2 linked regions of the Daphnia pulex genome follow. The protein of the gene in region 1 binds, or shares a complex with, the protein of each later gene. Links are inferred from orthologs where the notes say so. Each region holds a gene or a part of one and is shown on either strand. Other genes may lie near its edges.

Region 1 (16,322 bases):
AAAGAAATTCTTTCGAGCCGTGTCGGCATGGATTGCTTTATCTTTGGGTCGATAGAAGACTGCACTGTTGACTGAGAGCATGGCTGCAATGGTGACGATTTCTTCCGAACATTTGTATTTTTCGGATGCCAGGAGCATTTTCGCCATCATAGGATCAACGGGGAATTCAGCCATCCGCCTGCCCAGCTTGGTCAATTCGCCCATGTGGTTCAGGGCTCGGCTCCTAGAGCGTAGAGTTGTTCCAGTGCCAAAGCCAAAGTCTCGTGCGGAGGCGGATCCAAAAAGTCAAAGTGAATCAAATCGTTGATTCCAAGGGATTTGAGAAGCAGAACGACGTTGCCTAAATTAACTCGCTGAATTTCTGGCACAGTGTTCTCTTCGAGCTCGTGCTTGTAGGCCCATGCTGTGTATAGGCGGAAACATTTGCCAGCTGCTACACGTCCAGCACGTCCAGCTCGTTGATTCGCCGACGCTTTCGAAATAGGAACGACGACAAGGGATTCCATGCCAGTTCGGGCATTATAGGAATTTTGCTTGCAAAAGCCTGGGTCAATGACGAAGATAATGTTGTCAATAGTCAAAGACGTTTCTGCGATATTCGTAGCCAGAATGCATTTCCGCGCTCCGGGAGGCGTTGGCTCGAAAATTTTTGCCTGGAAAGAGATGAAAAGATATGAAAAGGATAAACTTTGAATAAGAAAGAACGAACCTGCATATCTGACGGTAAATTGGCGTAGATAGGAAGAATGAGCAACTCTTTAATCCTGGTGCCCAATCTTCGAGTACGTTCCGTCAGACTCTCCAGTGCCGTTTCAATTTCTTCTTGACCAGTAAGAAAGACAAGAATGTCACCCGAGTCTTGTGTGACGTGAATCTGTAGAATGGTGACAACGCAAGCATCGATATAATCAGCCTCAGGAGCTATGGTGTAAAAAATTTCGACTGGGAATCTTCGACCGGGGATCCTAAATATAGGAGCTTCGTCGAAGAAATCGGAAAACTTTTCAGCGTCCAATGTAGCACTGGAAATTAGCAGCTTCAAATCAGGTCGAAACCGTGCAATATCCTGAAAGAATTTATAGGAAATAATTCAACATTTCAACCTTTCAAGAGTTGGTGTATAAAGACGGCTCACCTTGATTAGCCCAAAGAGGATATCGGTATGGAGTGTTCGCTCGTGGGCTTCATCAATAATCATCACACTATAGCTCTGCAAATCGGGCTCAGAGAGAAACTCACGCAGCAACATACCGTCAGTCATGTACTTGATAACAGTCCTCTCTGACGTGCAATCTTCAAATCGAATGCTGTAGCCTACTTCGTTACCAAGTTTCTTGCCCATTTCCTGTAAACGGAATCGCACAAAATAAGATCCTTGTCAAGATTACAATTCTTGATTGAATTCTACCTGGGCGACACGAGCAGCAACACTCATGGCTGCAACTCGACGTGGTTGTGTACAACCGACTTTCTTGCCATCTTTACAGTATCCCGCTTCGTACAGAAACTGGGAAATTTGCGTCGTTTTTCCTGATCCAGTCTCTCCTTCCACGATCAGAATCTGATGGTCTTTAACGGCCTGGAGTAAGTCTTCGCGAAACGGAAATATTGGAAGCGATTTTCTCGTATCCTGAAGAGACATTTTCTTTTTCTGGATGTCGCTTACCTCAGGTTGTTCTAATATAGTTAAAACGAAAAAAGGTGGAGGGATAAGATTATTAAAGATTTATTCAGAAAGTTTTAGGTGTATTACTTTACCTTCGATACCCTTGGTTCCTGCAAGTTGATTTGTTTGGATAAAGTCAATAGTGTCATCCAATAAGAGGTCATAATCATGAATTTTTCCTCTCTTCTGAAGACGCTGTTTTGCATCTCTGGCACCGAAATTCCACTGAGCAGTGGCCATGCGAGCATCTTCCCAGACTTTTTGTTCGGAATGAGGTTGCTTTTCACGGTCATCTATCTCGACGTACCTATCAGGCATTGCTTTTTCCCGCTTATCATCGGGCATATGGTATCGTTGAACCAATTCCAATTCTCGTGCTTTGTCATGTTCTTTCGCAAGACTAAGAATGTTTTTCTTGTACTCGCGATCCTTTCGTTCACGCTCCGTGAGTTGTTGCTCATCGAACAAGTACTCATCGTCGAAAATATCTGCTTCCAATTCAGTAATCTTGTCTCCTTTTCGCTTCTCCAAATATTTTCGACGTGATTCCACTCTGAGTTTGGGAATAACGCTGGCTTTGTCTTCAGTCTCCATTTGAAGCCTCTTTGCAGCTTCAGCAAAACCTAGATAATTTAAACATTTTATTGTAATAGTTATTACAAATATTGAATAGTAAATATACCTTTTCCCACAGTAACCACATTCCTCTGTTTATCTTTATCTTTGAGTTTAAGACGTTCAGAGAACTCATCTCTTTCCTTCAAATCCCTGACTCGTTGTTTTTGATCTTCATCGTCACTGCTTGAATCTTCAGACTTCTTCTTTTCCTTCTTGATCTTTTTATTTACTTGTGGTGCCATTACTTCTTCGTCGCTGTCTTCTATCAGCTTATACTTCTTGTTTTTTTCAATCATTGCTAACAAGGTGTTTACTTTGCTAACTTTGGTCCTTCTATTCCTGTTCTGCAAGTGTAATTCCCACCTGTGAATTGAACTGCTGTATTCACTCCACGAAAAAACACTGATAAGAAAAAATATACGTTACAACTTGAACATGAAGCTTTCCAAACGCACAAGAGTGATTGATTGATATGTGGTTTTACCAAGTTTTACTACCCCTTGTCCACCCTTGTCTGCTGTAGTCGTCTGCATAGCAACATTGCCAGATATTCTTTTGCGATGTTTCTTTATTTAATCAATGGCATTTGCCAATTTCCACATTAAATTTTAAAAAAAATAAATCATCTACAATTAATTACAACTATTCTTTCGTACATTTTACCTTTTTAAATTATTTAATTGTATATACCCGGCCCATTCAGTTGACTGGCAGCCACCTGTCGGTTAAGAACCGAAGATTCATTTAATAATTCTTAATCTTTTTGAGGTTCGATTGATTATGATTAATTCAATAAATGCACACACAAACCGACACAAACTAACTCATTATGTTCATGACGAAAAAAAGAAGTTCATGAGAAATGAAAGTCGACACGCATCGGATCATAATCGGATCATTGGCACACATTAGCTCTAATGATCCTGTGCCATGACACACACGCGGGAGGTCCTATAAATTTACACGAATATTTTTTACAACCGACTTTTCTTCGGTCTCGGTCGGTCTCCGCTGATCGTGAGGCGTCAAACAACGCCAATTGGTTGTGCCTCCCATACGGATGGGAAAAAAAGAGAACCGGTTGAATCAGAATTAATCTTTTTTGATGCCTAACGATTTTTCGGCTTCGATCCAACGCACTCATGATGAACTTTAAAATTATGACGGTGCTATGTGTAGCAAGATTCTTTTTTTTTTAATTCCCAACTTATCAATCTTACCCGGAGCATTGACGATATCCATTACACATTCATGTGTACAAGTATGTATTGAAGCGCAGAGTGTGTGCTGTGATGTACAGCAGCTATATATAATATAGATAATTCTCTCTCGGCTAGCATTTCTTGTTGGATAGAGCTTACATTTTTCCGTCCGCATGTATGAGCAAAATATAAATACGCACGAAAGCGCAGTGGAATCGCACAAGAGATATACGACAAACAATTTCATCCATCGTCGTCGCTTTTGCAAACCTTATACATGTGCATTGCATTTGCTATATTCGATCGACTATTTTTTTCTTCCAGGAAAATGGGAAATATACGAGCGTGGTGGCCTTCCAGAAATCGAGAAGGCCTGTACAGAGTGCGTATCATTTTCAATTAGCGCACACGCTCATTTCGTTCAGATCTAATTTTAAGATGAAACCATACAACAGTTTGTTCCAATAGAAAAAAAACTATTATACAGCCGCGCAAGTTCGGACTCACTTTATCATACCGTTCTTCTCAATTGGAGGAAACTTGAGGCGTTACTCTCCGCAGTGATTTCTCAAGCCGCTGGTTGGAACGCGGTGTGTGAGGAGTCTCCAACTGCCATGGATGACCATTGCTGGATGACCATTGCTGGATGACCATCACGCGCCCAATATCGCGGGAATGGAACCGGAAGACAAAGTGGAAGCAGAAGTCGGAGACGGACAACTCGGTCAGAGTTTTCTCAGTTTTTTAAGCGCAGACATGATTTCTGGTCTCGATGTGGAGCCATTAGCAGAAACCCATCAGGAACGTTCCGTATGCCAAACCAATTCCACGTCACTTGAAGGCACAATGGAATGAGACTATATGAGAGCAGTGCTAGTAAGAATCCAGCCATCTTACGCCATCTTACCCACATCCAGCCTATCGTCAGCATCTGGTGTACCGTCTAATGAAGAGGATCACGTCCCCGTTGCCTTTGGAATGCAACAGTTGGGTCGCGCATCATTGTCCATCGAAGCTGATTCAGAGTTAGAGCGAGCCATTCGTACCGGCGAAGAAGAGTTAAATCAAGTTGTTTCTTCGATGGGCTTGATCTTCGATGAAGTGACTGTTGAGGAGGAGTAAACTAAACCCAAAGTAGTTCCAACTGGCGAGTACAATCAAGATTGAGAACTGGACGAGGACGATTTCTATACGCGCTCTTGAACACCTGTTCTGACGACTCCGGGCTACAATAGGGGTCATTCAGGGATTGGTCCAACACCGACTGCTGTTCTTCTAGGAGAATTCCTTCCGAGAGGTAACTAATCTATATAAATAATTCTTATGCACGAATCGGCTTCGATCACCTTTCCCGTTCGCCAAATTTTGGTTCGAACGGTTTGATACCTTAGATGATTTGTATTGAACGCCATCTAGCTTAGCAATCAAGTAAAATTCAAAAACATTTTACATTTTTGATGGGGATGTCGTTAAACGTAGCTCAACTGACATTATTCTGCACGTCCCTGATGACTATAGCGTTTCGTTAAATCTTTTATTGATTAATATTCGTCAGTCCAATGATCCTCCCTACTCCCTTGAACTGCATTGATCTTTGCAAAGGGTTTTCTTTGGCAAGAACAATTATTTCTTCATTAACTAACCGTGACCTCCAACTTTAAGTATCTGCTTTTAATCCTGAATACATGCCCTTGTCAGTTTTTTTTTCAAAGCCATTTTAACATGTCCAAAGCACCAAAGGTCACGGATACGGTTTGTGTGTACTTTAATTTAGTCTACGACATCGCTTCACACCTATCGGAAGCCAATATGATCCTGAATGCATGCCCTGACAGATTTTTTAAGGCTCTTTTACATGTTCAAGGATTAGAAGGCAGTTGAGGGTACCGATTTCTGTAGGTTTAACTTAGGTATGACATCGCTCCACCCCTTATCTGAAGCCAATTAGATCTTAACAAAAAAAAATCTTTTTCGATAGCCACCACCCATATTTGTACAGCCCATTTATAAATTTTTAGCGCAGTTCTCACTCATTAACTCAATGTTCAGGAAAGTGTTACTTGCGTGCTAAAGCTGCGCTAAATTTTTCATATTGTAGTTTAAGATTGAAGTTGCTGTGCTAACATGCCACAAACGTTAAAAGCACCAAGTCTCTGAAAGAATTACGTTTTCATTTCATTTTGGAAAACCAGGATTTTTTTTGTAAAAGATTTACACTACAAGAGCTGGAGGATGGCACGGAAGCTATGGATTCAGATGAAGTCAACTCCTTAATAAAACAGCGTAAGCTAAAAATATTTTCAATAAAACAATAAAAAGATTTTATGGTATTAATAAAATAACTTCTAAAAATCAGCCACTGTACTACTGGAGGAACTTACGAGGATTCTTAGGGATATAGAAATGCCAAGAAATGCGGTTCGAATTTCTGACAACATTCAGAACTAAACCGCTCCTTGAGCTGTCGATGATTCCTCATTTTCACACTTTGGATCTCACTAGGATGGAGGTAATCTCGAACAATTGTATATCTTTAACTGTAACTCTGTCACTAAAAACGGAATTGAAATTTTTCTGCAAGAATTGAATCCTTTAAGAGAAATCATTTTGTGTTGCAGTGAGCAATCGGTTTCCAGAATTACACGTGACGATATCGCCAATTGGAACGATACAGCGATTTGGATTAAGAAAAATTGGCGCTTCAATTTTATTCTCAAGAGTTATCGCAGATATATATATTTAGGCGGGTACACATGGAAACGCCGGAGAGGCGAATTTTGATCTGTTGTTTAAGGCAATTTGAAAATAAAAAATAATTTCTCTACTTGACAAGATTTCTCTATTTAGTTATTTACTTGTATTTTATTTTCGTATCTAGAGGTCCCCCCGGAACTTTTTTTTTTTCAAATGACGATTGAAACGTGCTTCTTTTTCTGAAGAGTACGGAAAGTTCTGAAATCCAATTATCAGCAATGATTAACAGTGTTTTGCTCCAGATAATAAAATAAAGATAAGATAACGAAAATTTTATAGGCTATCTTTTTGTTATCTTTTTTTGATGAGATTAAAAGAAAAATATACGATATCTTTATGTGATCTTTTCCCAACACACTTAAACTTTATTGATTTTTTGGTAGGCAATATCGGGCAACTTAGATATGGTCTCGTTGCAAGCATCGTTGGTCGTTGTAAATAGCATTCAAAAACGTTCAAAAATAATTTGTTTAGTCTTTCACTGAAAAAGAGAAGTTAAATTCACACCATTCCCTGCGCAGATCATACGGTCGGGATCCCACTGCAGATCGTAAACCACGGAGCATGTAATCGTTTGATCGAATTGGAAAGGTTGTCTTTTTAAGATTTCATAGTTCGCCTGTCTGATGCCGAGTGTTATATTTGAAAATTACGATTATACCATTTATTAAATGGAATTTCGTGTTGCACAAGATTGTGTGATTCAGTACTTACCGATCCATCAACTCGCCATCCAATGTCAATCGCCTCATTTATACTTGAGTCATCAAGATTTCCATAGGTAAGTAATAACTGAACTCGACTGTAATTTTTTCAATTCTTAATTCAAAAGACGCTCAAAGCAATAATCGTGGTGGGAACTATGAAATTTGCCGACAACATTCTGAAAACATTTGCAACATCTAACTCGATTGTACTTGCGTTCTTTCCTATTCGGTACTGGAAGACACTAATTTAACGCCGACATTCATTGTCGGCACTTTTGCAATCATTTTGGCTACTCTCTTGTATACAACTACCAGTGACAATAAGAAGAGTCACCTGTTGCGGTTAACAGGGTCAATGCATTCAATGACACCACTCAAATGTTTATGAAACGATTTTCATTTATAAAAATGGCGTTGTTACAATCTATCAAACCTTTGGAAGAGACCTAGTTCATTCATAATTTTTGGGTGCAAAAACGGCTTATCCAATCCATGTCACAGAGTCACAGACACTGTTAATTATTTTGTTGTATATGCGATAACACTAAATTAATCAAAAATCGAAATAAGTTCGAAATAACTATGCGCGCCGCTAACTAGTCTTTTCTCTTACATAAGTGCACCTAAAAATATCAAATTTCTAAAACCGCGATGCAGTTTTAAGTCTTAAAAAAAGACGTTGAATTTCAGCTCGTGACAGTCTTTATCTGGCTCAGCCCGTCCGTCGAGAAGAAACTCAAAGAAACCTATTATTTAATAATTAACGAATTATTAAAAAGCTAAACAAGAAACAATCCATTCATTATTTTACCTGGCTGCTGAGTGCTGACTCATGAGAATTTAAGCCCAAATTTGAGGAACAAGTTGCAGAAATATGCGCAGAGCAGAAAACCTTAAATCACCTTAAATCTTATTTGAATGGTTGTTTCTTAACGTTCATAACCAACTGGATTGGCTTGGAGTCAAGCTGATGAAACCAACGCTCGACGATTTTTCGTAATTCCTCGTCAGTCGTCTATAAAGTCAATAATATAAATAAAAAGCTAATAATAAAGACCAAGAATACATTGGCATACTTCGGTTGAAGGGATATGTATCAACTCCGCAAAGGAATCAAGTGCATTCAGACGGACGTCGTTATAAGCATGGGTGAATAATGCTCCAATATAGCCTTGATTGCATTATCCAGTTTGGAACCAAGTAGGTAAGAGTAACGTTAAATTAGTAATGTGTTTAAATAAGAGAATGGTAGACGTCTAATTTTATACCTTGTTGATTCCGGTTGATTCCGAGCGAACTTGCCATCGCGTTCAGTTGCAATAAAGGAAGTAGTTTCAATAGCAATCATCCTCATTGAAACGTCGGAGTCGTCGATCAAGTTGAACATCGTATTTGTAAAGTTCGGATATCTGGCTAATACATCCGGTTGAAAATGAGCCAGCGAACCGATAAATTTCATAAGCCCGGGAACGAGCAGGCGAGGCAAGAGGATCTGCAGGAGCCTCGTCCAAATTACCGGCGAGCTTCTCAATGATTCCTTGTCGCTCGAGATAGTCCCGACCATGTTGGCAAGACGCTAGAGTCGTAATAAGTTCCAATGCGTTCAGCTGGGACAAGAATGTCTCCCATTAAAACTTCTACCAGAAGGAAACTGATGAGCTCTTTCTCTTCGCAAAATGCCAAGTTTTCTTGGGATGCGCAACAGTAGGTGATTAGAATATCGTAAACCCTGTAATGGACTTCGTCAGAAGAAAAAGATTTCAAAAGAATTGTTTGTAAACAATATCAGTTATGTTTTCTCCTCTTAAACAGGCGACTCGAACCTGTTTGTATACGCTTAATTTCGTCTCGTGCCCTCTCTTGAGAAATAAATTTTCCCCCCAAAAAAGATTCTCACTCGAGACCTTTCCAACATGATGTATTCAAATACCTTCTCTTATATCGCCCATGTACACGAAAGTGGTCAAAAAATAAACACAAGACAAGTGTTCATAGATGATGGATTGGGTTCTTCGTAGGTTTTTCGCTTTTCTTCTGGTTTAGTAATCGAATTTAAAGTCAAAGTAAGACTGGTCGAATTGATTCAAACGAACGTAACCATCTTCACCACCACTGGCGTACGTCTTTCCGTCGGGATGGAAGGCCAGAGAATTGATAGGACCGAAATGGCCCTTGACACGAGCGAATTCTTCTTCGAAAACCAGATGGAAGAAACGGGCGTCGAACTTGCCGACACGCGTTGAGGTCGTCGTTACGTCCATGGCATCTTGACCACCTCCCAACACCACCTGAAGATTGAAGGAAAACAGTTAGAATCGATCAACTGAATCATTTAGAAGCTCAAGGATCATACGTGATCCATGATGGGTGAGATGGCGGCACTGTTGACGGGTCGCTCAGTTTTGTAAGTTTTTAGGCACTCTAACGTTTCGGCGTTAAAGAGTTTTGCAGTGCAATCCTTGGATGCAGTGATGAGGAGAGCTCCGTCTTTGGACAGCTGCATGTCGTTGATAGACTTGGCGTGTTCTGAAACCAGGTTGTTCTTCTTGCCAGTTCTGTAGTATAAATAATAAACAGGATTTAGTTTTAAGCACTCAAGGTTACGACAATGTCATTCTCACCTGAGGTCCCATTGGGCCAAGTCACCATTGTCGTGACCAGAAATAACAACCTCATCTAGATTACCCCAAACCATTGATGTGGCTTTAGGGGCATTAGTTAATGGAATTCGCAGGATGGGGTCATTTTCACTGAAGGAAGAGTCAACCGTTCTGACATCAATGATGAAGATCTCTGAAGGGTTACCCATAGTACTGTCTGTTGAGTAAAGGGCCATGTTTCCACTGTAACTGAAGTTGCATGTACGAACTGAAGTCTTGGCTTCAATTTTACCCAAAGCCTTGCCTAAAAAAAAACAAAGAAAAGTTTAAGTCGTAATTACGCAATGGGGTCATTTCTCACTGAACATACCAGTTTGGACATCCCAGATCATGAGCATATTATCACCAGCACCAGACATGAAACGTTTAGTTTCCCAATCAACATCAATCGCCCATACGACACCCTGATGTCCCTCGTAGGTACCCAATCGTTCTCCATTGACTGAATACCAGACACAAGGGTGGTTGTCCTTGGCTGACGAGAAGAGCAAATCTCCATCCCGGTTGTACTTAATTTGCGTGATTGAACGCTCGTGACCGTGAAGCATAAGAGGTTTCTGTGATCAACAATAACAGTGGATTAATATAATGAAATTAAATAACAGAAATGCACTGAAAATTACCATTTTTGTTTATATTAATTGGTCACAACTGTAATAATGACGTACACTTCTTTCGGCGTGGGGCGACTGAGGCCTTTCGACGTTTTTACAACACTCGTCTGCCGGCCCTGCTCGATTTTACAGTGTTGCCACCCACCCACCAAAAAACGAACCATCTTTAATCTTATCAAAACTGTTAAACTTTATACAAAAAAAAAAAAAATTAATTTTTATTCTTTAATCACGCGTAACGTTAAAATGACACTAGCAAAAATAATTTTACTTTTCGATTTGTTTCAGAGGGCGCTACTCGCTAGGGAAGTTAAAGCAGTTTTAACATCGTCTGCTATTCTCATTCAACTATTTTGGCGGGTTCCCTCACATTGCGTGTTCCTTCACATTGCGTGTGTCTCGTGGAACACAATTACCAAAATTATTTATCTAGAATGGTGAATTTGGTTTTAAATAATGTTCCCATTGAATTTCCATTCCAGCCTTATGATGTACAAGAGAAATTCATGGAGCGTGTGATAGAATGTCTTCAAAAAGTAACTAGTGTTGCGTTATCGGTCAGTGGACACCTTGCTCTTATTTTGTTATTCTTGATTAAATAGGGTGTAAATGGTTTGTTGGAATCTCCTACTGGCACAGGAAAAACTTTGTGCTTACTTTGTTCGACATTGGGTTGGTTAGCAACACGAAAAGCACAAATACAGTCTGGTCAATTAGCTGGAGATATGGGAGTGGATATTAAAAATCAATTAAGTAATGCAACTGGGCTTGGATGGGGAGATGCTGCTACTCCTGGAGCTGGAGTACCCAAAATCATTTATGCATCCAGAACTCATTCTCAGCTCAGCCAGGTCATTTCTGAATTAAAACGGTCCTCTTACAGATATATGAAGGTGAGCATTTCCTTCTTCCATTAAAGCTATTTGCCTACATGAAATGGGTTTTGATAACCCTTATTTTATTTTTCTTCATTTAAGGTATGCATCCTTGGATCTCGTGACCAACTGTGCATTCATCCAGAAGTGTCAAAGGAAACAAACAATGCTGTAAAGCTTCACATGTGCCATGCTAGAACTACTACTCGTACTTGCTACTTCCACACAAATCTAGATGCTAAGAAAGAGGAACCAGACTTCAAAATGGATGTATTGGATATTGAAGACTTGGTGACTTTGGGGAAAAAACATTCTGCTTGCCCTTATTTTATGACAAAAGAAATTCGTAAGGTAGCTGACATCATCTTTATGCCATACAACTACCTTCTTGATCCTAAAGTGAGAAAAATTCACAACATTGAACTCCAGGTAATTCCCAGTACATTTAGTAGTCTTTAAAGGTGCATGAAATATTAACTTCTTTTTTTGTGCTTGTTTAGGGAAATATTGTTATATTTGATGAGGCCCACAATGTTGAGAAAATGTGTGAAGAATCTTCATCTATTGAACTTAGAAGTTTAGATATAGCCCTTTGTGTTGATGAAGTCACCCAGGTAAACGACATCCTTTTTATTATGTGGTGTATATTCTTCTAGCGTTCTTTTTACTCCAGGTCATGAAAAAATTCCGAGAAAACAGTGATAATGATGGAATAATGGATATTTTATCTCCTTCAACACCGAAAGATTTCTCTTTAGATGACCTCTGTATTTTGAAAGCCATGTTTTTGGAGTTAGAGAAAGCAATCGATGCGATACCAATCACTTCGCCGGAGGGAAATACTTTACCTGGTGAATTTATGCTGGATATATTAGCCAAGGCAGATCTGAGTCCTGGGAAAAAGGATGTGATTGCAGATCTCCTCGATCGGGTTATTCAGTTTTTAACCGTTGCCAGCACATCTCCATATCAGCGTAAAGGCACTGGACTGCAAAAATTCTCTGATCTAGTCAAGATTGTATTCAGTAAAAGCCATTTTACTGCCGATCACATGGAACGTGTGAAAAGATCATATAAGGTTCATATTAAAGTTGAGCAGCCAAAATCTCGTAGCAAAGGCGATTCTTGGAGCACTCCCAAAGTGGTTGGTAAAGCAGGTCGAGTTCTGTCGTACTGGTGTTTCAGTCCCGGTTTTGGTAAGAATTATAATATTTTTATTTTTTTTTTAATTTTTGGTTACAATAGTTTATTACGATACTTCACAGGAATGCGGGACTTGGTGGAAGAAGGAGCCAGATGCCTCATTCTCACAAGTGGAACTCTCTCACCGCTAAACAGTTTCGCTGCTGAATTGCAAGTCCCCTTTCCCGTTACACTTGAAAATCCTCATATTATTTCTAGCAGCCAAGTATAAGTTTTCGACGTAAAAAGAATATTATTGCACATTGATTGATTATTTCTTCCGGTTTCCAGGTTCTTGTTGGAGTTGTTACTCACGGTCCTGATGGTACTCAGTTAGACAGCAGCTACAAAAATCGATCCAATTCCCAGTATGTTCAATCATTGGGTCGAACTATCCGGAGCACCGCACAAGTAATAGTCATACTATTTTTAAACCTCTTGAAAGTTTTTTTATTCGATTATTAATTTTATTTCAGGTAGTTCCTGATGGATTGTTGGTTTTCTTCCCATCGTATCCAGTAATGAAAGCTTGTCAAGAAGCTTGGCAGCTCTCTGGTCTATGGGACGCAATCAATCAAGTGAAACCCATTTTCGTTGAACCCAATTCTAAGGTGAATAATTGAGATTGTATGATTTTACGACTGGGTATTTCAACGAAATTGTCTACAGGAAGGATTTCAAGAGGCTATGACTGGCTTCTATAATGCGGTTGCGTCCGAAGATCGCAAAGGTGCGTGTTTCATGGCAGTTTGCCGTGGTAAAGTATCTGAGGGATTGGATTTCTGTGACGGCAATGGCAGGGCTGTGATTATTACTGGGCTTCCCTATCCACCGTCGCGTGATCCTCGAGTCATGGAGAAACAAAAGTACCTTGAAGACAACCGTAAAAATCCTCAATTTAAGGGATTGACAGGACAACAATGGTATCGACTGGAAGCCACTAGAGCCGTCAATCAGGTTTGTTAACTTGAGAAACTGCTTTGATTCATTCATGTAATTTTTGTTGTGTTTTTACAGGCAATCGGTCGTGTCATTCGTCATCAAAAGGATTACGGAGCTATTCTCCTATGTGATCAACGTTTTTCCGGTAAAGATATTATTCAACAGCTGTCAGCTTGGGTTCGGCCACGTGTAGTGAATTTCCCCAAAATTGGTCCGTTATTGCGCGATCTCGGGATTTTCTTCCGTAATGCTGAAGTCACATGTCCTGGCTCCTCTAGAGCTATACGAGCGCCAACTGCAGTCGATTCACATCGTGACAAAACGAAGAACTCACGTTCTACCGTGGATTCGTTCCATCATGCTCTTAGCTCGGGTTCATCTCGAGTAACCTCTCATCATCCTGCAAAGGCAAACACTGTTCAAGCTGAAGCCTATCACTTGGATCTCTCAAGTTATTCCTCGACCTTGAAGCCGAAATTGGCGAAAGAAACTTCCATTTTTGATGGATCGCAAGCAACAAACCATTTTATTGATTTCAATGAAACAGCTTCGCCCTCTTTGTCGATTGTTCCCGATAAGAAACCAGTTTGTCCGCCGGCCATCAAAAAGAGGAAAATAACCATTGTTTCGGATGCAGAAAAGGCCAAGTACGACCTCCGGCGTATTAAACTTGAAACAGCTGAACCGACGTCTTCTATGGCGTCCACGTCCTCCTGCCAGTCTACTGGTGTTGGGACGGATAACAGGAGGGAAAAAGCAGCACAATATTTAAAATCCGTCAAGACTTTACTGGACCCTACTCGCTACACTACGTTTTCGGACAAGATTCGGGACTACCGATCTGATAAGAACTACGATTTGCTGATTCCTACACTCAAGAAACTTTTTCTTGAAGATCACAAACTCCGTCATCTGTTCAAAGGTTAGTCAAATTTAAAAGGGCAGCTTAAAAAAAAATTTTGCGTCTAAATTTTGTATTTCTTATCTTTAAGGATTTCGTCAGTTCCTATCGAAGGAGGATACGCCAAAGTTTGATGAAGATTGTAGAAAAATTGAAATTTAGTCCATTTCTTCTTATTATTTTTAATGGTGAATTAAAAATTTGTTTTCTATTTGATAAACACGAATTACGAACTTAATTACAAATGTATGAATTATTTGAAAATTCCGTTTAAACAAGCGTGTAATGAAATAGTCTATTTCTTAAGTTTTTAAGGTGAGAAACATTGTACACTTTAACACATATACAGCTCAATATTTTCATAGATTCAGTGTAACAAAAGCGTAGCCAATTATTTAACCAAAACGAATTAGTGAATTTATGCTCGATTACTTGTTCTTCCCGAAAACACTTCTCGTAGCTCGTCGCCCGCCGTTTACAAATACGATATATTTGAAGAAAAAAAAATCAGTCTTTATTTAGGCAATGTGTCGTGTAAGATATCTTTCACGCTCTGCGCCAGGTGATCGGGAAACTTGATGTCAAAATTTACAATCAAATCTCCTCTCTTCGTTGGGTCTTTGGGTATAGGTAATCCTTGACCAACTATTCTTTTGCTTGTGGAAGGCTTTATTATTTCGTTCAGCATGTCCACAGGGATCTTCTCTCCTGTTAAAGTGGGTACCTCGACGAGCGTTCCGCAAAGAGCCTACACATAATTAGTTTAGGTAACCTGCTCGAACGAAACTTTTATAATATATTATCTCTTACCTCTCTAAGGGAAACTTTGGAAGTGTAGCGCAGATCGCAGCCATCCCTCTTCAACAGCCCGTGAGGTTTGTCTCGTATGATGAAAACAATATCTGCGGGTATCTTGTTGGGCGTCTGGTCCCCTTCTCGCTGGAACGTGATTTTTGTTCCTGCTTTCCAGCCTGGCTTGACGTTTATGGTTAATACTTTGTCTTCTTTTTTAGACGTGCCATCTGCCTGGTAAACTTTGCGGGAGATTTTCATCTTTTTGGTACATCCTAAAAATAGCCAGCAAAGTAAATCACAAATCCAAGAACTGAGTATTACAAAATAAATTTACCTTTAAGAACTTCTTCTAATGTGACGTTAAGGTCGTATTCAATGGGCGGATCTTGTACTTTCTCTTTTCCCATTCCTGGCCCGTGCATGTTGAAACTCTGAGATCGGAAAGCTCCCCCGGGATTTCTTCCTCCAAATCCCAAGTTGATAAAAGGGTCATCCACGTCCATGTCTTCACCACCTTCTGGAAAGAATCCTCTGTTTCCACCTTGCTGCTGTTGACCCATTCCACCCATTGTGAAGAAGGATTCAAAAGGGTTGGATGAACCGAAAAATTGAGCAAACGTGGCCCTTGGATCACCATGATAGGCGTAGGAAAAGCTGGCACCCGGACCGCCGCCGCCTCCTCCTCCGCCGCCACCACCACTTCCCAATCCACCCTTTTTAAGTACAAATATGATGTAAAAACTTAAGTCATTTAATAGGAGAATAGTTCATTTTCTTACCTTTAATCCTTCTTCTCCATACTGATCAAAGACATCTCTCTTCTTTTTGTCACTTAAAACTTCATATGCTTCTGCTACCTCCTTAAATTTGTCTTCTGCACCTGGTGCTTTATTTTTATCAGGGTGGTATTTCAATGCCAGTTTACGGTATGCCTTCTTGATTTCATCATCAGTAGCTGATTTTGATATTCCAAGAATTTTGTAATAATCTTTTCCCATTTTCATGAAGGAAGCCTAGAATGTATTGGAAAGTGAAAACTAAACAAAAGAGAACTTGATTAATGGAGGGTAATTGGATTTTGCTTGGGGATAACTGAATTTTAAAAAACTCAATATGTTTAAAATAATCTAAGTAGGAAATTCTTAAGGAAAAGAGGGAGAGTAACAAAACGGTGTGATGCGTGATGCCCAAAGAAGGTCAACGATTCAGGGTCGTCGATGACGTCGACTTCTAAGTTTGGACTGTGACACAATTTAACCCACCACCAATACGTACTAGTTAAAACGTTTGATTATTACCTTTCTGTATTACAGAATAGTAGAGCTTGGACTCGAAACACTTAAATGATAAAACGTTTGTTTTATTGGAACACTAGTTGTTCGCAAGAGTAGATTTCTCGACTTAAT
Region 2 (17,000 bases), on another chromosome or scaffold:
CAAGAACAAAATGCTAACCTACTTGATTTATCTTAAAAGTACATTACCATTTCAGTATTCCTATTTTCATCACACTTTTGTCTTGCAATATAGTGAGACTCTCTCAAAGACGCATCTTTATGACATGGCAGCTATCACGTAGAAAAAGGCAGAAGAAAGAAGATCTTCGACATGCTTTTACAAAATAAATCCAAGTAGATTAGAAAATGGATTTTTTGAAAAGTAAAAGCTCTCACGGTTCACTTACTTGCTTTAAGAGTTGTTCACTTTCGATTCAGCTTGGTCGAATTGTGTGAAATTACTTCAGCATTTTAACATGTAAAAAAAAAAACAAAAAACACAGCATCACATTTGACATTTCCGTCCACCTGTGGTCCACCGTCTCAAAAGCAAATGGCGAACTTGCTTCATTCACTCACGAACAGACACTCCGCCACCTGTAAGACACAAATACACCTATAGAAGCGATACATTTCTCAACATTCACGAACGGTTCTAATTTGGCGTCCAGCCAAACATTTCACATAAAACTGACAACTACATAAGAAAGCTCGGCTGTTACACTGCTGTTTGAATCAAAAATTTAAATGGAGTATATCTTCTACAAACATGACGGGACGGCTTCTACGTAGTGCTGTCAGTTGCTGTCGATTCTCGTGTCGAATACTAGCAGCCATATTTAAAGGAACGAACAACATTGCCATTTCCTATTACGCAATTAAAAAAAAAAAAAAAAACGTCCGCATCTTTGTAAAGAACTAAAGACTAAAGAGAGCCACAGCGGTTGCTGCTAGTCATTTTGTGACCACAGATAAAGTCACGTTAACGTCACTTTAATAAGGAAAACTTGTAGCATTACTAGAGTCACCAATTCCGACTTCTTTTCCGGTTCTTCATCCGATAAATTCACATCAGATAACAGTCGGTAAAAAAATCGGAATCAAAATTGGCTAATACGACGGGGGAACGCTCAAAACATAGAAAATATCACTTTCTAACGGCTTGGAAAGGGTGCGTAACTTTTAGGATTGAAGACAGGCTGCCAGATGTTTGGCAAGTTGTGGAGTTGGAACAAAACCTGGCGTCCGGTCTTTGCTACACTGGCCGAAAGTCCAGATTCACCTTCTACTCGGTTAAACATATTAAATGAATCAAAAGTCAATAAGAAAAAAATAAGAACGAAAACATTTTAGATTCATACCAATTCTAATTGGAGGATGACATAGATGATCAACCTGCCATTGCATTTACTGTAGAAAGATGTGGCAGCACAACCGCCTTACTTCCGCGACTGTGCGTTCTGCAGGTCCAATCTGATGGACGGTACCATCCAGTGTATGGAACGAATTAGTAAGACAGTGAACAGAAGACGAACTAAACTCCGTTTTGATGCGCTACTCAATACAGCAACCTAGATCAGATGCGAGTGGAGTGACAGGAATAGATTTCGCAATAAAAGAAACGGAATAGACTGAATTTCACTTCAATTTCACCTTCGCTTAACAGGTTTCAGTGTTTGGACATTACCGCGTTATTTTTCTCGCCCTCTTCTTTTCCTACATCGTTTGCGCAATATTGTCTTTCAAGTAAGTCGCGTCTTAGAGGTTCAAGCACACGAGTCGGGGGAAACGGGATAAACTGTCTTTACTGAATAATTATTCAGTAAATATATTTGAGTAATAAGAGATTTCCTACTCCAAACGGATAAGCCTGAAACGAAAATTGTTATGTAAATGGATTACTTTTTTGTAATGCAATAAAATTTAAATCTGCAGTGCGTTTAATAGTCACCACCACCAGTTGACAAAAGCAATTTTAATTCATCTTTACCCGACCTTCCCCAAAATATTTTTAGAAGACAGATTTTATCTCTGTGTAAGAAAAAAAGCAAGAATACCGAAAGATGAAAGAAGGATGAAAGCCACCTTAATTCTTTAAACGGTGTACGCGGAATTGAATAGGATAGAACAAGTAATATATTGGGTAGGGGAGAGACACACGCGCTAAGAGGGAATTAGGTTGAGGAAATGAAGTGATCAAAATAAGGGAAAACTTCTGTGCGGTACTATTAAGCAAAAACGGGATTATCAAGCCTAACCTTACATAAAAACGGAATGTTGACTAGCCGAATTTAAATGGTTCGTCACATCACCCTTTAATGAAAACATTAAATCATTTAGAAAGAATGCAGTTCTTTTGTGTCATACTCTTACATAAAACAATAAGACTTTTCAGGAAATATTTACCTGATGAAGGAGAGCTTAAACTTGATTACCAAAATTGAGATCTGGAGGAAACTGAAAAGCTTTCAAAGCTATAATCTTTTCAAATCCATCATCTGCATGGTTGCTGGCAGTTGATACATTTTCTGGGGAGAAGTCAGAGTGTTACTTGCCACTCACACTTGTGAACCTAGATACATTTGGGGAAATAAGAGATAGAGATATGAGGAATTTTAATCTACAGAAAATGTTAAGTATGCACAAATCAAAAGCTTAATAAGCCTTACCCAATAATCTCAAGACTCACGTTCACAGTTAAACTTTTGCATTGAGTTGTTGAAGCAGCCAGATGATAGCCAGACACAGATCCTGAGAAAATAAATTTCTTGCAACACCCACCACTTACAGAACAGAGATTGAAAATCCGATGCACACAAGAAGAATTCATGCTTCAACTGTTGTAGTCACACGATGTGGTTCACGATGCAGTCTGGGAATCCAAAGTGGTTTCAAACATTTCCTTAAAACGTGACTTGTTTAAGTGTCTAACAAATGAATTACGATTGATCATGCAGTAGAGAAACTACTAGAAAAAACGAAAAGAAAATTTTACAACGCATTCCACATAAAACAATTCCATAGCTGACATGCTGACAGTGACATGGCTGACTTTTTTTAAAATAACATGATGCTTAATTGAAAATCCTACGAAAATTTTTATGTTAGGACTTAGGACTTCGACGAGGAACGGAATTACGGGAACCATTAACGTGCAGACGAACTGTCATGAGAATTGTGAAGCGGTGTTGCCCAAATAAAACACAGCCGATTCAATGAAAAATAATAAGACATTCTTAAACTTCCATTCTTCTTAGTTGGTGAACTTGCCGCTATGGGTGCCTCGTCGTTTTCCAGACCGAGATTCCGAAAACCTTATTTCAAAATGCATCTAAATGATTAAAATGAATTGCAATACATTTAAAACTAATTGAACAATGTTCGTTAGCTCATAAAGTATAATTACAATCAATACAAAAAGTTAAACAGCATAAACATAATTAGGAATCTAATTAAAACAGTGGAAATGGACAGTGCGGAACGGGATTCCTCTGGCAAAGTCTATATAAAGGCAGCCCCAACGACAATAGTAGTTTTAATTGCAAACACGGAAACATCCTACCTACCAGTGGTGAGACCGTGAGAATGGTCGAAATTTTGGCAACGGCTTCGGTTTTCGCAATGGCTTTGGTAATGCTCTTGGTTTTCTTGGTTTGTGTTCTTGGTGTTTGTTTTGGTTGCCTTTGCCTTCTTTTCATGGTCTATGCAACTGCGGAAGGAAATTTGGTGGGCGGAATTTTGGCACTTTGGGCTTTCGCTTCAATTGTTTTCTGGGCATGGATTGCATGGATGCTATGGCATGAAACTGAGGAAGAAATGATCGGAAATTTTGCACTTTGCTGCGCTTGGGCTTTGGCTACAATTGTTTTGTTGGCATGGCAGGTATGGCATGATATCACTCATGGAGGAGGACCATTACGTATACGTCCCTGGTTATAACTTATTCAGTCGAAAGACCGAAACACAAACACCTTCGGCAACAACGGCTTCGGCTATATGATTTTCATGTTCACTCTTATTCGATACAAATAAAGTTTCATCTTAAATCTCAAATCATTTTAACTTGTTTTGTCATTCATTTTTCTCAGATAAGCGGAAGAGGAAAAACCAAATTTCTAGCTTTCTAGCTGATTTTATGTTGAACATTAAACGAAAATTGTTACGTTTAAATTGTAAGAAGGAGATTTACGTCAACAAAAGGTGTTCGTATTCGAAATGTCAATGATTAGGGTGCAGTTAAATTAATTACAAGAATAAATTCATTCATGATGGGAGCCAGTACGGCAGTAAACTCACGATTGCAAAACCGTACGAACTCTACGAAGCAAAGGGGTAATTTGTAAAGGACCGGTATTTCTAATTGTTATAGGCCTAGTGTAGAGTTATTCTTGTTTTAAATATTTGTAGAGGGGAGGGGAGACCGGGGCTTTTTGGGACATTTTTTTTACGCTGCCCATTTAAAGTTTAATATGTTCATATTTTGCGGCATGGAATGGAAGGAGGAAATAAATACAAAAATTTATTTTTCTACATCTTCCAGTTATATATTTACTGTATGCTCTGTTATGCTTTCTGTATCACCATTCCGAGATTTATAGTCATGAAGAAGGCGCCAAAAGATGCTACCGCGCACATTAAGGCAATTGTCAATCGGCAACTTCCAAATAGAGAAGCTGTGCAAAATTAGATGTTAATGATGTATCAGAAAAAAAATATCAAAAGAATCGTACGAGCTAATTGCTGAGGTTTGTCAACTTCACTTTTTTCCGACATTTTTAAATGCTGCGATTGTATGTGACTGAATGGTGCAACAACCTACTTGAATCAACAGCCAATCAATCGGGAGATAAGGAGATTTATAATCTACGCGTTGATATCCGGATATTTGTTTTTGTAATTTTTTTTAAGCGCTGCAGCAAGGGAATAAAAATGACCCAGAATACTATGCTCATATTTTAAAAAGTAGGAAAACTATTAACTTAATAAGATTGAGAAAAATTGCTGTTGGGGGGTCATTTGTATCAAACAACGACTAGTCTGTTGTTATGGTAACCTGGTAGCATTATGATGCCATCTGATAGGGTGTTTCTCTTTTGTTGATTGCTCCTTTGCATGATTCTTCTCTTCCTGTGTATAATTGTTTACCCCAAAAAACGTTACCCCTCGCTTTCGACACTCTCCGTCTGTCAGTTCTATCAATTTCGATGCGCCTGAAAGGGGGACATTTGTCACATTTCCCCTTGATTTTTTATTATTAGCAGTTTTAGAAGAATGAGTCATACATAACCATAGCGTGAATAAACTAAAAACAGCTCTTACTGACCGTTGATCTCATCGCTTGCATGACTTTTGATGTAGTAGTTTTCAATCGATCCATTGTTTTCTATGGGTGTCCTTCGCCCTATTTTCGCTGTTGCTTGGTAGTTTGATGAAACCATTATGGAACAGGTGATCGAAGTGAAGCTGCCGCTCGATTCGGGCTTTGGAAACCGCCTCCTGGTCGTCGTCATGGAGATGAAACCGCGGAATTTTCCAACCAAAACGTCTAGTCATATTTAATTTACTACCTCCCTTATTTTCTCATATCTTCCATAAAACAACAGCAGTCCAGCGGCTCCCTTTCGTTGGCTACATTACGACCTCTCACACAAAGCCCCTTTCAACCGTACGTGGTCGTTACTGTAAATGCAATAAAACTAGACGGATTATATAAGGATGATAGAGTCCAATAAAAGACATACTAGATTTTTAGCCTATCCCATCGGCAGCGTCGGTGACACAATAGTGTTGGATGACCTACAGTCGCCACAGCGCTCATCACAATTACGTTGTCAAGGATATCTGAAATGAACGTCATCAAGGGCGATGCCCAAAACGACTCACCGCCTCAGCAGGTCCGTTCGTTAGAGCTGCGTGCGCATTATTCACCCAACGGGTTATTTTCTACATGAGTCACAAGCCTTTCCATTTCGGGGAGGAAAAGTAAAACTCGCATTTCTCTAATTCACCAATGGAAACGAGGCTTTGTGCATCAAGCATACGCCAGCAATACTGAATGCCAGATAGCAAAAGTGGTGTTAATTATCATTAGGGTTAATTAAGCAAGAAAGAGGAAATTGAATTCAGCTGGTGACTTGGCTAACCTGCATTTATTTTGTTCAGAATGGTTGCGCAGAGAGATGAATGTACACAGGGAGACAGTCCAGTCGAAGGAGATCAGATCTGGATGTTGTTTCTTAATAAAAACAGGGAACGTAAAAAAGAGCGAGGAATGTGGAGAAATACGAAAGAGTTGCTAGGGGATGTTCTAAAAAGGAAAAGATAGTCAGGAAAGCATAAAAGGATAGGAAGCGAAAGGCATGGTAGTTTTTAAAAAGTGAAGAAAGTGCACGGACATCAGCAGCTGGACTAAAGGGCGGTCTGGGAGTGCAGTAGATGGAAAACATTTCTCCCACATATTTCGGCAGTTCTATCAAGGACGGAGAGGGCAAAATTGCATTTTTAAGCAGCGTCTTGGTCGGCGTGGTCCCCATCTTCCTCGAAATCAGCCTCATCATCGGCCGTAGCTTCTTGGTATTGCTGGTATTCGGAGACGAGATCGTTCATGTTGGACTCGGCTTCGGTAAACTCCATTTCGTCCATGCCTTCACCAGTGTACCAATGGAGGAAAGCCTTACGACGGAACATGGCAGTGAACTGTTCCGAAATACGTTTGAAGAGCTCTTGGATGGCGGTCGAGTTGCCGATGAAAGTGGCAGACATTTTCAGACCGCGAGGAGGAATGTCACAGACGGCTGTCTTGACGTTGTTGGGAATCCATTCAACGAAGTAGGATGAGTTCTTGTTTTGAATGTTGAGCATCTGCTCATCGACTTCCTTCATTGACATGCGACCTCGGAAAATGGCTGCAACAGTCAGGTAACGTCCGTGGCGAGGATCGCAGGCGGCCATCATGTTTTTGGCATCAAACATCTGCTGGGTCAGCTCGGGAACAGTCAATGCGCGATATTGTTGAGACCCACGGGCAGTGAGGGGAGCAAAGCCAGGCATAAAGAAATGCAAACGAGGGAAGGGCACCATGTTGACAGCCAATTTGCGCAGGTCAGCATTGAGCTGGCCGGGAAAGCGAAGGCAAGTAGTAACACCAGACATGGTGAGGGAGACCAAGTGATTCAAGTCACCATAGGTGGGCGTTGTCAATTTGAGTGTGCGGAAGCAGATATCGTAGAGAGCTTCATTGTCGATACAATAGGTCTCGTCCGTATTTTCGACCAATTGGTGGACCGAAAGAGTGGCGTTGTACGGCTCGACGACAGTGTCGGACACTTTTGGTGAGGGGACAACAGAATATGTGTTCATGATACGGTCAGGATACTCTTCACGGATCTTGGAGATGAGCAAAGTTCCCATGCCAGATCCAGTTCCGCCACCAAGGGAGTGTGTCAGCTGGAAACCCTGTTTTCACATGACAGCAAAACTTTTATTATAAAAAATCATCTCATTCCAAATTAAAAAGAGTTATTTACCTGAAGGCAATCGCAGCTCTCGGCTTCTTTGCGGACAACGTCAAGAACAGAGTCGACCAATTCAGCTCCTTCAGTGTAGTGACCTTTGGCCCAGTTGTTACCGGCTCCACTTTGGCCAAAGACGAAATTGTCAGGGCGGAAGAGCTGGCCAAACGGTCCCGAACGAACGGAATCCATGGTGCCAGGCTCCAAATCCACAAGAACAGCACGGGGAACGTATTTGCCTCCGCTTGCTTCATTATAGTAGACATTGATGCGTTCCAGTTGCAGTTCAGACTCGCCGTGGTAGGTGCCATTAGGTTGGATTCCATGCTCGTCAGAAATGATTTCCCAAAACTGCAGGAAAAGGTAAACAAAAAAAGAGGGAGAGTTAGAAAAACCTGCCCAATTTCAATGAGTTTTTAAGTGCTATACACACAGTATAAAATCTAACTACACCTAGGGAGGAACTGCTAGATAACCCATCAGTAAGGGCGCTGTCACAATGAGGGGTTGGAAAATGTCGGGGGAGGGGATGTTGTTTCACATACAATTGCCCAATCGAATTCGGTTCACATCTGCCACATGGATGCGCGATATAACATTTGAAGGTTAGAGGGGAGGCTCACATTTACTTTTTAAGTTTATGGTCGTTAGCCTCAATTTTTTTTTTACCCCACCACTTGGCACGACTACACTATCCGGTTTTTTAAAAAACAAAGTGCATCGAAACAAAACTAATTAGAACTCGCCTTTTTGTGATCTTGCCGGGTACCGGTTCACCATTCAAGCCTGGAAGCTTTAGATTGATGGCATGAACAATCGAGAAGATTGCATGAGAAAGGAGTATGCAATCAAATCAACAACATTACATTTACTCTTTTTTTTTTTGCAACATCTTGAGATGAAAGGGGCCGGACAACAAAGAAAAATGGCGGACTAGCGCCAAATGGGCATAAAAAAGGTGTCTTGCACACCGGTCTTTCACTGCAGCAAACCATGTCAAATATCTTATCATTCTAAAATAATGAAAATATAATATTTACCTTGGCTCCAATCTGGTTACCACACTGTCCAGCTTGAATATGAACGATTTCACGCATTTTCTAATATTTTTCGAAATGAAATTGAAAGAGAAAAACTCTCAAGTTTAACGGTCAACGTGCCTCGCGCTGGAATCCTCTGGATATGAATTTCCGTTTGCAATGGGACTGGCATTTATAACCTCATGAACAGCCTTGGGTGCAAGAGGGCGGAGCTTGATTGTGTTGCGCATTGCCATTGGTCCACGAAATCAAACATGAAAGCCAAATCCTTATTGGGAGATTCGAAATTTGCGTCCGCGCGTTTCGGTTATTTTTTGCTCCTAGAGATGCAGAGTTTATATGTTTCTGTATATAGTTGGCTGAATATTAAAAAACGGAGATATGACCCAATCAAAATTCTAAATAAGTAGAGAAATATTTGCAGGGCAACGTTTTTGGTTTGTCTCTAGTTCCTTTTATTGAACGTTATAATCTTAAACTTCAAAAAATGCCTGCTTCCATTTAAGTTCAGTAAAATATTAGAATTAAATATAAAGTTTCGATTAAAGATAAGATAACCCACTTATTGTCATCGGTGTGGCGAATATGGTAAGAAATAACACGCTTTGAAAATTCATTCCTTTTCCGTGGTTGGTATGTGATTGAAATATTGCCAATTACGTCTCTAAAAGGAAAGAAAACCGGGAACCGTATAAATTCAAAAACCAGTTTGTACGGCATCATGGTTTGCGATTTTCGAGTTGATTTCAAAGTAATAAAACCTGTTCGGCACTATTAACCATTGACTCCAGCATAGTTTTATGTAATCCTGCTTAAATGCATTAGGCATAATGGTCACATGAAACCACAAAACACTTATTCCAAACATGGCAAATAATCACCATGACAGCAGTACACACATGTATGCCGGTGAATCACGCGACAGGGGACGAGCCGGAGCCGGCGAGAAACGTAAAAACTCGGTCCCAGTTGTAGCAGACCTCTGCCAGACACGATCAATACTTATGTGTCTAGACAACCCATCCTGCAACTGCAACAAATCCACCTCAGCAGTGTTTTTATGGTTCCTGGGAAACACAGCCTGAATGCAGCTATTGGAGTGCTTGATGTCTTCATCCGTAAATTTGAAACAATTTTGGTAACCATTTTCTTTGAATATTTACTTCCTGATCAACTTTTGATCATGATTTGATATACTTGCTATAAAACAGAAAAACAGAATTGTAATGGCAGTCCCGTTTAGCATTGAAATCTGTTAAGTTTAAGGTAAATTAATCTCAACCGGAGTAAATAAGTTTGACGATCGATTTTTACATTCGAATTTTTGACAGATGATCTTTTGGAAAATTGTTGAGTACATGCGGCAACGCTGTGCAGCTACTATTATTTGACACTAGAGCCACTAGTAATCGAAATAGTAATCTTACTCGTGGACTTTTCTCAATTTTCCGCAATTTTCAATTGAAATTTAATAACTATCGGTATTGAAAAACCTAAAAGATGTATGCCGAAGAATTTGAGGATGTAAGTGTACAATAATTACAACATGTTCTGTACCTATCATCAAAAACTTTTTCATTTGTAGTACGAGTATGAAGCCGATGCCTATGAGCCAACCGGGGATCCACGGCTTGATGCTGAAAATGAACGATACACTAGCTATGGAAGTGCTCCCCAATATGCTCAATATAGCATGCCGGATGTGATCAAGAAATTCATTATTTATTTTCGAGAGATGGTAAACTCTGGAAAGTTGTATGAAATTCAGAATGTCTACGAGAACACGTAAGCCCACCACAGTGCCTGTCAGACAAAGTTGAATTGTTGATCCATTGTTTTTTACTCCATTTAGATTTCCAAAATTAACTGAAGAGCACTTCAAATCATCCCCTTGGCCTGATGCAGATGAAGTTTCCCCATTAGTGGATGATGATCAACCGTTTCTGATTCTCTACAAGGAACTTTACTATCGCCACATTTATGCACGAATCCAAGGAGGACCAACAATTGAACAACGTTTTGAGTCTTACTACAACTACTGTCAACTTTTCAACCATATTTTGAGTACTAACTTCACTAATTTTTAGATGTTTGCCCAAAGCCTTCATAAACCATTTTACTACAGGTGCTAAAAGTCCAGTTGTTTTGGAGCTTCCTCATCAATGGCTGTGGGAAATAATTGATGAATTTGTCTACCAGTTCCAGTCTTTTGCTCTTTTTCGTTGTTCTCTTCATAAGAAATCAGGTACACCCATCATCTTATGCTCCATCTTTTCTTTTCTCACCATTTTTTTTTTTTTTTTACAGCTGAAGAACTTGAATTCATCAGAATCAACCCAACTTTGTGGAACATTCATTCTGTATTGAATGTGTTGTATTCTTTGGTTGACAAATCCAATATCAACCAACAATTGGAAGTAAGAAGGAGAGAATCATTATTGGTTGTAATTTAAAATTAATACAATCGATATGTAGGTATACGCCAAAGGTGATGATCCCGATACCGTAGCAGGAGAATTTGGCCGCCGACCTCTTTATAAAATGTTGGGTTACTTCAGTCTTGTTGGATTACTGAGACTCCACTCATTATTAGGAGATTTCTATCAAGCTGTTAAGGTTCTTGAAAATATGGAACTCAATAAAAAGGTAAGCGCAAAATTAAAAATGATTTGCATTGCTTGTAAACGTAATCCATCAATCTCATTTTAGACTCTGTACTCCAGAGTACCTGCCTGCCAAATCTCAACTTACTATTATGTTGGTTTTGCTTATTTGATGATGAGGCGGTATGCTGATGCTATTCGGACGTTTTCCCATATTCTACTCTACGTCCAGCGCACTAAGCCATTATACCAGGCTAAAACATACCAAAATGACCAGGTCAATTAGATTTAAGTGAAATGAAATACTGAAATCTTAATCTCCTTTTTTGTGTTTATAGATCAACAAACAAACCGAAAAAATGTACGTTCTACTGTCGGTGTGCCTCGTTCTTCATCCTCAGCGCATCGACGAATCTCTACAGGCGATCCTGCGAGAGAAACCTCATGCCGAACGCATCGTGCGGATGCAAAAGGGAGAACTTCAAGTGAGTTTCTGTTGATATTTTTTAAAGTTAAAGCAACAATTTAAATTTGTTCAATTATGTTAGGAATTCGAAAATGCATTCGCTTTCGCTTCTCCGAAATTTTTGTCTCCTGTTCCACCTCCTGTCGAAGCACCACCTGCCGATCATCGCCGTGAACCATTTCAACAGTTGGCAAAAGTTTTCATGGATGAAGTACAACAGCAACTTACTTTGCCAACGATTCGCAGGTATTTGTTCAACATTAGATTTGAATGTCCGAGTATTATTAACATAAATTTTCTGTTTAGTTATCTACGTTTGTACACTACTATGCCTGTCGCCAAAATGGCTGCGTTTTTGGAAATGCCCGATACTGATTTCCGCACCCATCTGCTATGCTTCAAACATAAGATGAAGAACGTCGTTTGGACTAAAGGCACCTCTGGATTGGACGGTGAACTCCAATCAGGCTCTGAGGTGAAATATCTTAGAATTGTAGTTCTAGTGGAATGTATCTTATTTACGCTTTTGCTCGCATTAGGTGGACTTCTATATCGATGGCGGAATGATCCATATTGCTGACACGAAAGTAGCTCGGCGCTATGGTGATTACTTCATTAGACAAATCCATAAATTCGAGGAAATTAACCGCGTATTGAAGACACAAAAAGTTTAAAAATCCGATGCTTTACCTCCTTTAAATATGTTTTACATCTTATTGGTTTTTCAAAGGCAAAATACATAACATGGAGGAAGTTAGTGATTTTTAACTTTTTTTAAAGAGAATTTTTTTCTTACCTTTAAGTCCGACAAGTTACAAGGAAGTCAAATGAAATGAATGTAAGGCCACCAGTGATGTTATGTACGTTTCTCTTATTTTTGAATGTATTCAAATGATAAGATTATTTTTATTAGAGAACATTTTTTAAATAATTGGACCGAAGATCTTACTAGAAATGTAGACCATTGGCATCCTCATAGGAAATGTAAAAAAAAAAAAATGCTATCTAAAATCAAACAAGGGGAATTCAAACACACAAGGGCAATTTGAAAATTTTCAGTTTCAGTCAAAGCATCAGTAGGGAATATGAGTTTTTTTTTCATGAAAAAAAGCACTAACAAAAAGGATGACACGCATTACCCACGGCAGATGGAACGAGAAGAATCGTATTTGCAGTAACGGGCACATGAAAAGGACCTTATGTCCCCTCTCCAAAACAAAAAGCATTCGATTACTGCTGGTTGAAATTAGAATATCAAACGTCAATGTGAGAGTTTTAAATAAATTTAACATTTCAGGACTGTAACAATTTGAAAATTAAGAAATAACAAGCTTGTCAGTCACCACCACAATTAGTCCATAGAGCTCACGACAAACAATTACGCACCATTTACCAGCCAGATGAAGAAGCACGCTCCGTACCAGAACATTTTATAACAATTGATATGTATGAAGTAGGCTTAGTACGTTTTCTTATCCAGCTGAATACTTTGTTGGGAAGTCGTCTTTTTTTTTAAGCCCAATGTCGCTCACACTATGCACATTCATAACCCATGGTATCACCAACACGCACACTAAAGTCATCAATTTAGATCCATAAATAAATAAGAGCTGTTGATACATGTCGACCACCATACATCGGGAGACTAATAAACTAGCCAAATAATATAAAAATTTTGAGGACCCGAGAATTATGAATCACCCATTCACTCAATCAAAATGATGCAACAAGACATGCGGGACCGGTGAAATCAAATTAAATCCATTTTAAAACTGAATAGATTAAGGTTGCTGTAAGTAGAATGGGAGACGGCAGTAAATTATTTCCTTTACCACACTGTTTGATTTCCTCCTCCTAAGGCGATAAGAAAATGCAGAAACAAGAATATTATGCTGCCAGTCATCTCTGCAATATTCTCACTTACCTCTGGATGATAACTGAGACAGACGGAGGGACGCTGACGGTACAAGCTTTCCTGAGGTCGTTCGCAGCGTAACGACTCGTTCATTTTGACTTCCTCCATTTCAATCTTTTGCTTCTGTATTTCACACCTGCAAGTTGTGTCAATGACTAGTAGTAGCAAATTCGAGTGGGGTATCTTGTGGGTGCTGTAGTGTCTTTCGCATTGGCGGGCGCCCAAATTGTTCGAGTTGCAGTTCTGTTTTCCTTTGACCGAGTCGGGTTTGTCGCCTTTAAATAGCTTTTCGGGTTGCAGCACATACAAGTCTGCCTGTTGGTCACATGGTCTCGGTCGGGATTTATTGGCATATGCGTTTTCCATTGATACAGCTTCGTCGTGGACGATGATTGAAATATCTCCGTCGGCCATGAATTCTCCACCCGTTGGAACCGGTCCTGAAATGGTTGATTTTAAAATAGAATTGATTCTGTAAAGAAAGATCTCATTAATGCATCCTTACCGGGACTACCATCATTATCCTCGTAGTGGTAATCCGATTGCTCTTGTTCCATGCCCCAGGCCCAGTCCGGATTGATCAAATGAGCAATCTGAGTTTGGAGCATTATCCAAGAGGCGCGACCAACCATCCATTGAACGAACCACTTCATGTAACGTAATGGTGTTAGCAAGAAATTGGCAGCACTGCGGTGCCCCTGCATATCCTTGCAGACAGCTTGATAGTCGTAGATGCGGACCCTGCAGAAATAAAGCAACCCCGATGAGGAAATCGAGCGAACAAGAAAGTGGCTTGGCTATTTAATATATTTTATACCTTTTAAAGACACCGTAATGGATCAATGAATCCATAACAAGCCAATCGATTTCACCAAAAAAGCGCCCTGTGTCTCTCTCCTCCTTTGAGATCACGATGTATCCGTGATTGTCCACTACGTAACACGACAAATCACCGGAACTGCAAGTTCGCCTGCATTGAACTCCTCCTATTTTGCATTGCATCGGTAGGTATGCGTAACAAAACCATCAAATGAACAAATATTTTTTAGTAGTAGTAATCCTTCGGCCTAGGATAACTTACCACGGAGGATTACTACAACTACTAAGTAGGATAGGATATATATAAATGTATACTAACCGGTGCACTGTAATAATCAAAAAAATATGTTTAAAAATGCTGTTTAAACTCTGTAGCTTGTCAATCAAATTTACCCCCGACGTGATGTTGAAGAAAGTTTCTCGGAAGGCGCTGTTCTTGTATTGAAGTCCTACGACAGCGGCGGGAGCTTTGTAGCCGCCCTTCTCGACGAAAATGGCATGAGAGGCAGTAACTACACTCTCATTGGTTACTCCTAATATGTGCACAGTGATAATGAATCTCAGACAAACGTTTGACTAATTACTCGTGGACTCTTCACATACCTGTACCCGTGCTGAACGGCACCGAGTAGACAAAGCTATCCGGTTCTACAGAGTATTGATCGACGGCCCTCTTGTACCAAGTCTGGTCGATGGCGTTGAGATTGGCCTCGCTAAAATGCCTGCATCCAACAGGGAAAACAACAAAAATGATGAAGAAACCGCCGTATGAGTAAACAATAAGGTCTAGCGTAATGCAAGAGTTTGTAAAAGGCAGCCATATCAATAATACTTTCAAGTAGACTATTAAGCTCGTCAGCCTATTGAGTTTTGCAAGGGATAAGCGGGTAAACAGAATCTACCATATACTTGATGACTGGCTGCTTAATGGCGAAAGCGTCTTTCCATGTTAGCCCATCTATACCAAGTTCAAACTTGCATCTACTGTACTCTGAACTCCTCTCGAAGCGGACATATATACCTCGCCGGTTTTCGTCTTCGTATGATGAACGGAATATCTAAGCGAATCGTTTTACGTAAAATTCTACTTTGGAAACGTTTCTTGAACTGGAAAGGTTTCCGTGGAGCACGCTTCACTCTTCTCGTCTGCCGATCCCACTGGGCATGCCTCCGACGTACCACATGCAAACTTGAGGCCCGTAAACATGTCGCAGTTATATTATTAATGCCATTATCAATAACTAACTAAAGTATTTTAATCAACCGAGTTCGTTCCCTTTACGATGACAACTTTTAACGGACCGTCATGCCATTATACACGAAATTTAACACTTACTTGTCATCAATGGTGCTGATGTCCTGCCAACGTAAGAGGCCACTGCGAGTGGCGACAAAGGCGACCGATATACCAAACAGCTTAAACATGGCGTGCCTGTATAGAAAATGAAAGGAGAAATGCCAAAATATTACTTCCATGTGATCAATCACAAGTTTTCTCTTAGCGGCCCTACACTAGACGAGGTGGGATTATCTGGCAAAATACAGTTCAACGCCATAATATAACCAAACATGTTATAATACACGCAAAACATTGCGAACAAATGCCACAATCACATAATAAAAGAGCAGCACAATAGAGAAGATCATTTGATTAATTCCAATCCTTGGAGCGGCATGATAGACCATGAATGATTAATTCCAATCCTTCTTTGGCAGCGATTGGGACAATGTAATAATTATTAAGAGCAGCAGAGAAGAGAAAAATTAAAGATTATTTTAAAATTGTTTCACTTTCAGTTAGTCGTTTCCTGTGAATAAAAAGCTATACATTATTAGTACTGAAACTCTGTGCGATACTAAATTCAAAGCGCAAGTAATTTCAAAGCAAACATATAAAAGTTCATTTTTAAAAAACGGGCCTAAGTGGGGAGCATCGAAAGAGCGACAGTGATGTGCCAAATTACGGCAACGTGAAGTCAAGGTTACTTTACGTTCGTGATACGTTACCTGGCTAGTAGTGCCATAAGCATGCCTAAACCTCTGTGTGATTAAGTGCCGGTGACACAAAAAGAGAAAATTGGAAGGAAAAAATAGATTTTGAAATGCAAAAAAATGATGCAATGGATTAGTGGTGCTCATGGAAAAATCGTGATGACATCAAATTAAAGCTAAGAATGTTGTCGTGTTTGATTTCGTGCATGTTGTGTGATCGTGAGTGAACATTAATCTAATATTATTCGTTTAAAAAGGACATATAAAAGGAAACACTTACGGATCTTGTCGGTCAATGCTAAGAGAAATGTTCTTGTCGAACACTTCGGTGGCTTGGGCGTCAAAAATCAGTGATTGCATCAAATGTTTGTCGCCTAGGAAAGAAAAAGAAATAATTAAAATAAATTTGATTAAGTTATTTATTAGACAAAAAGACTTACAGTAGTAGTTGTCTTCTTGTTTGTGAGCTTAGGGAGTCCAGAAGAAAAAGTTTAAAAAACGTTATGGCCAAATAAGTTCCTAAAAGGATTTTCATATTTCTTACAGCGGACAGTGTCGTGGGAAGGCCGCGGGTGCTTCGAGTTCCAACGCCATCGCTCCCGCTGCGTCCGGCCGACAAAGTGCAGCACTTGAGCCTCGGGCGTATCGAACGATTTCAGATGGTCGTAGTTGTAGCGGCAGTAGATCCTGTTTGCCAAGAGAGCAATCAATATAAGCTTACTGATGGCCGTTTGAAATCTTCAAAGTTTCGCGGGGCTTTTCATTACCAGTCGGGGTGAATTTTCCAATTCTTGCCGGAGAAGAAGGACGAAAC

What was found.
Region 2: eukaryotic translation initiation factor 3 subunit I-like (region 1) and eukaryotic translation initiation factor 3 subunit L-like share a complex: the UniProt entries of both Caenorhabditis elegans proteins name them as parts of the eukaryotic translation initiation factor 3 (eIF-3) complex. The link is inferred for Daphnia pulex from reciprocal best matches to the Caenorhabditis elegans genes eif-3.I and eif-3.L.

What each region holds. Positions count from the first base shown.
Region 1 is NC_060019.1:6,184,944-6,201,265, forward strand, and holds eukaryotic translation initiation factor 3 subunit I-like, read right to left. Parts: upstream 10,381-16,322; 5' UTR 10,234-10,380; coding exon 10,231-10,233; intron 10,165-10,230; coding exon 9,918-10,164; intron 9,852-9,917; coding exon 9,569-9,851; intron 9,503-9,568; coding exon 9,301-9,502; intron 9,236-9,300; coding exon 8,987-9,235; 3' UTR 8,849-8,986; downstream 1-8,848. Other genes in the region: regulator of telomere elongation helicase 1 homolog, read left to right, coding at 10,656-10,757, 10,824-11,114, 11,199-11,525, 11,597-11,710, 11,770-12,292, 12,362-12,504, 12,570-12,689, 12,755-12,889 and 3 more; dnaJ protein homolog 1-like, read right to left, coding at 14,636-14,869, 14,932-15,188, 15,251-15,629, 15,696-15,920. UniProt on the Caenorhabditis elegans protein: Component of the eukaryotic translation initiation factor 3 (eIF-3) complex, which is involved in protein synthesis of a specialized repertoire of mRNAs and, together with other initiation factors, stimulates binding of mRNA and methionyl-tRNAi to the 40S ribosome.
Region 2 is NC_060018.1:1,448,136-1,465,135, reverse strand, and holds eukaryotic translation initiation factor 3 subunit L-like, read left to right. Parts: upstream 1-9,745; 5' UTR 9,746-9,891; coding exon 9,892-9,915; intron 9,916-9,976; coding exon 9,977-10,176; intron 10,177-10,243; coding exon 10,244-10,455; intron 10,456-10,516; coding exon 10,517-10,636; intron 10,637-10,698; coding exon 10,699-10,808; intron 10,809-10,866; coding exon 10,867-11,037; intron 11,038-11,100; coding exon 11,101-11,271; intron 11,272-11,332; coding exon 11,333-11,479; intron 11,480-11,542; coding exon 11,543-11,706; intron 11,707-11,766; coding exon 11,767-11,935; intron 11,936-11,999; coding exon 12,000-12,134; 3' UTR 12,135-12,217; downstream 12,218-17,000. Other genes in the region: tubulin beta chain, read right to left, coding at 6,342-7,295, 7,367-7,702, 8,392-8,448; voltage-dependent calcium channel subunit alpha-2/delta-3-like, read right to left, coding at 13,216-13,314, 13,385-13,815, 13,881-14,116, 14,193-14,361, 14,514-14,520, 14,588-14,727, 14,798-14,916, 15,216-15,383 and 6 more. UniProt on the Caenorhabditis elegans protein: Component of the eukaryotic translation initiation factor 3 (eIF-3) complex, which is involved in protein synthesis of a specialized repertoire of mRNAs and, together with other initiation factors, stimulates binding of mRNA and methionyl-tRNAi to the 40S ribosome.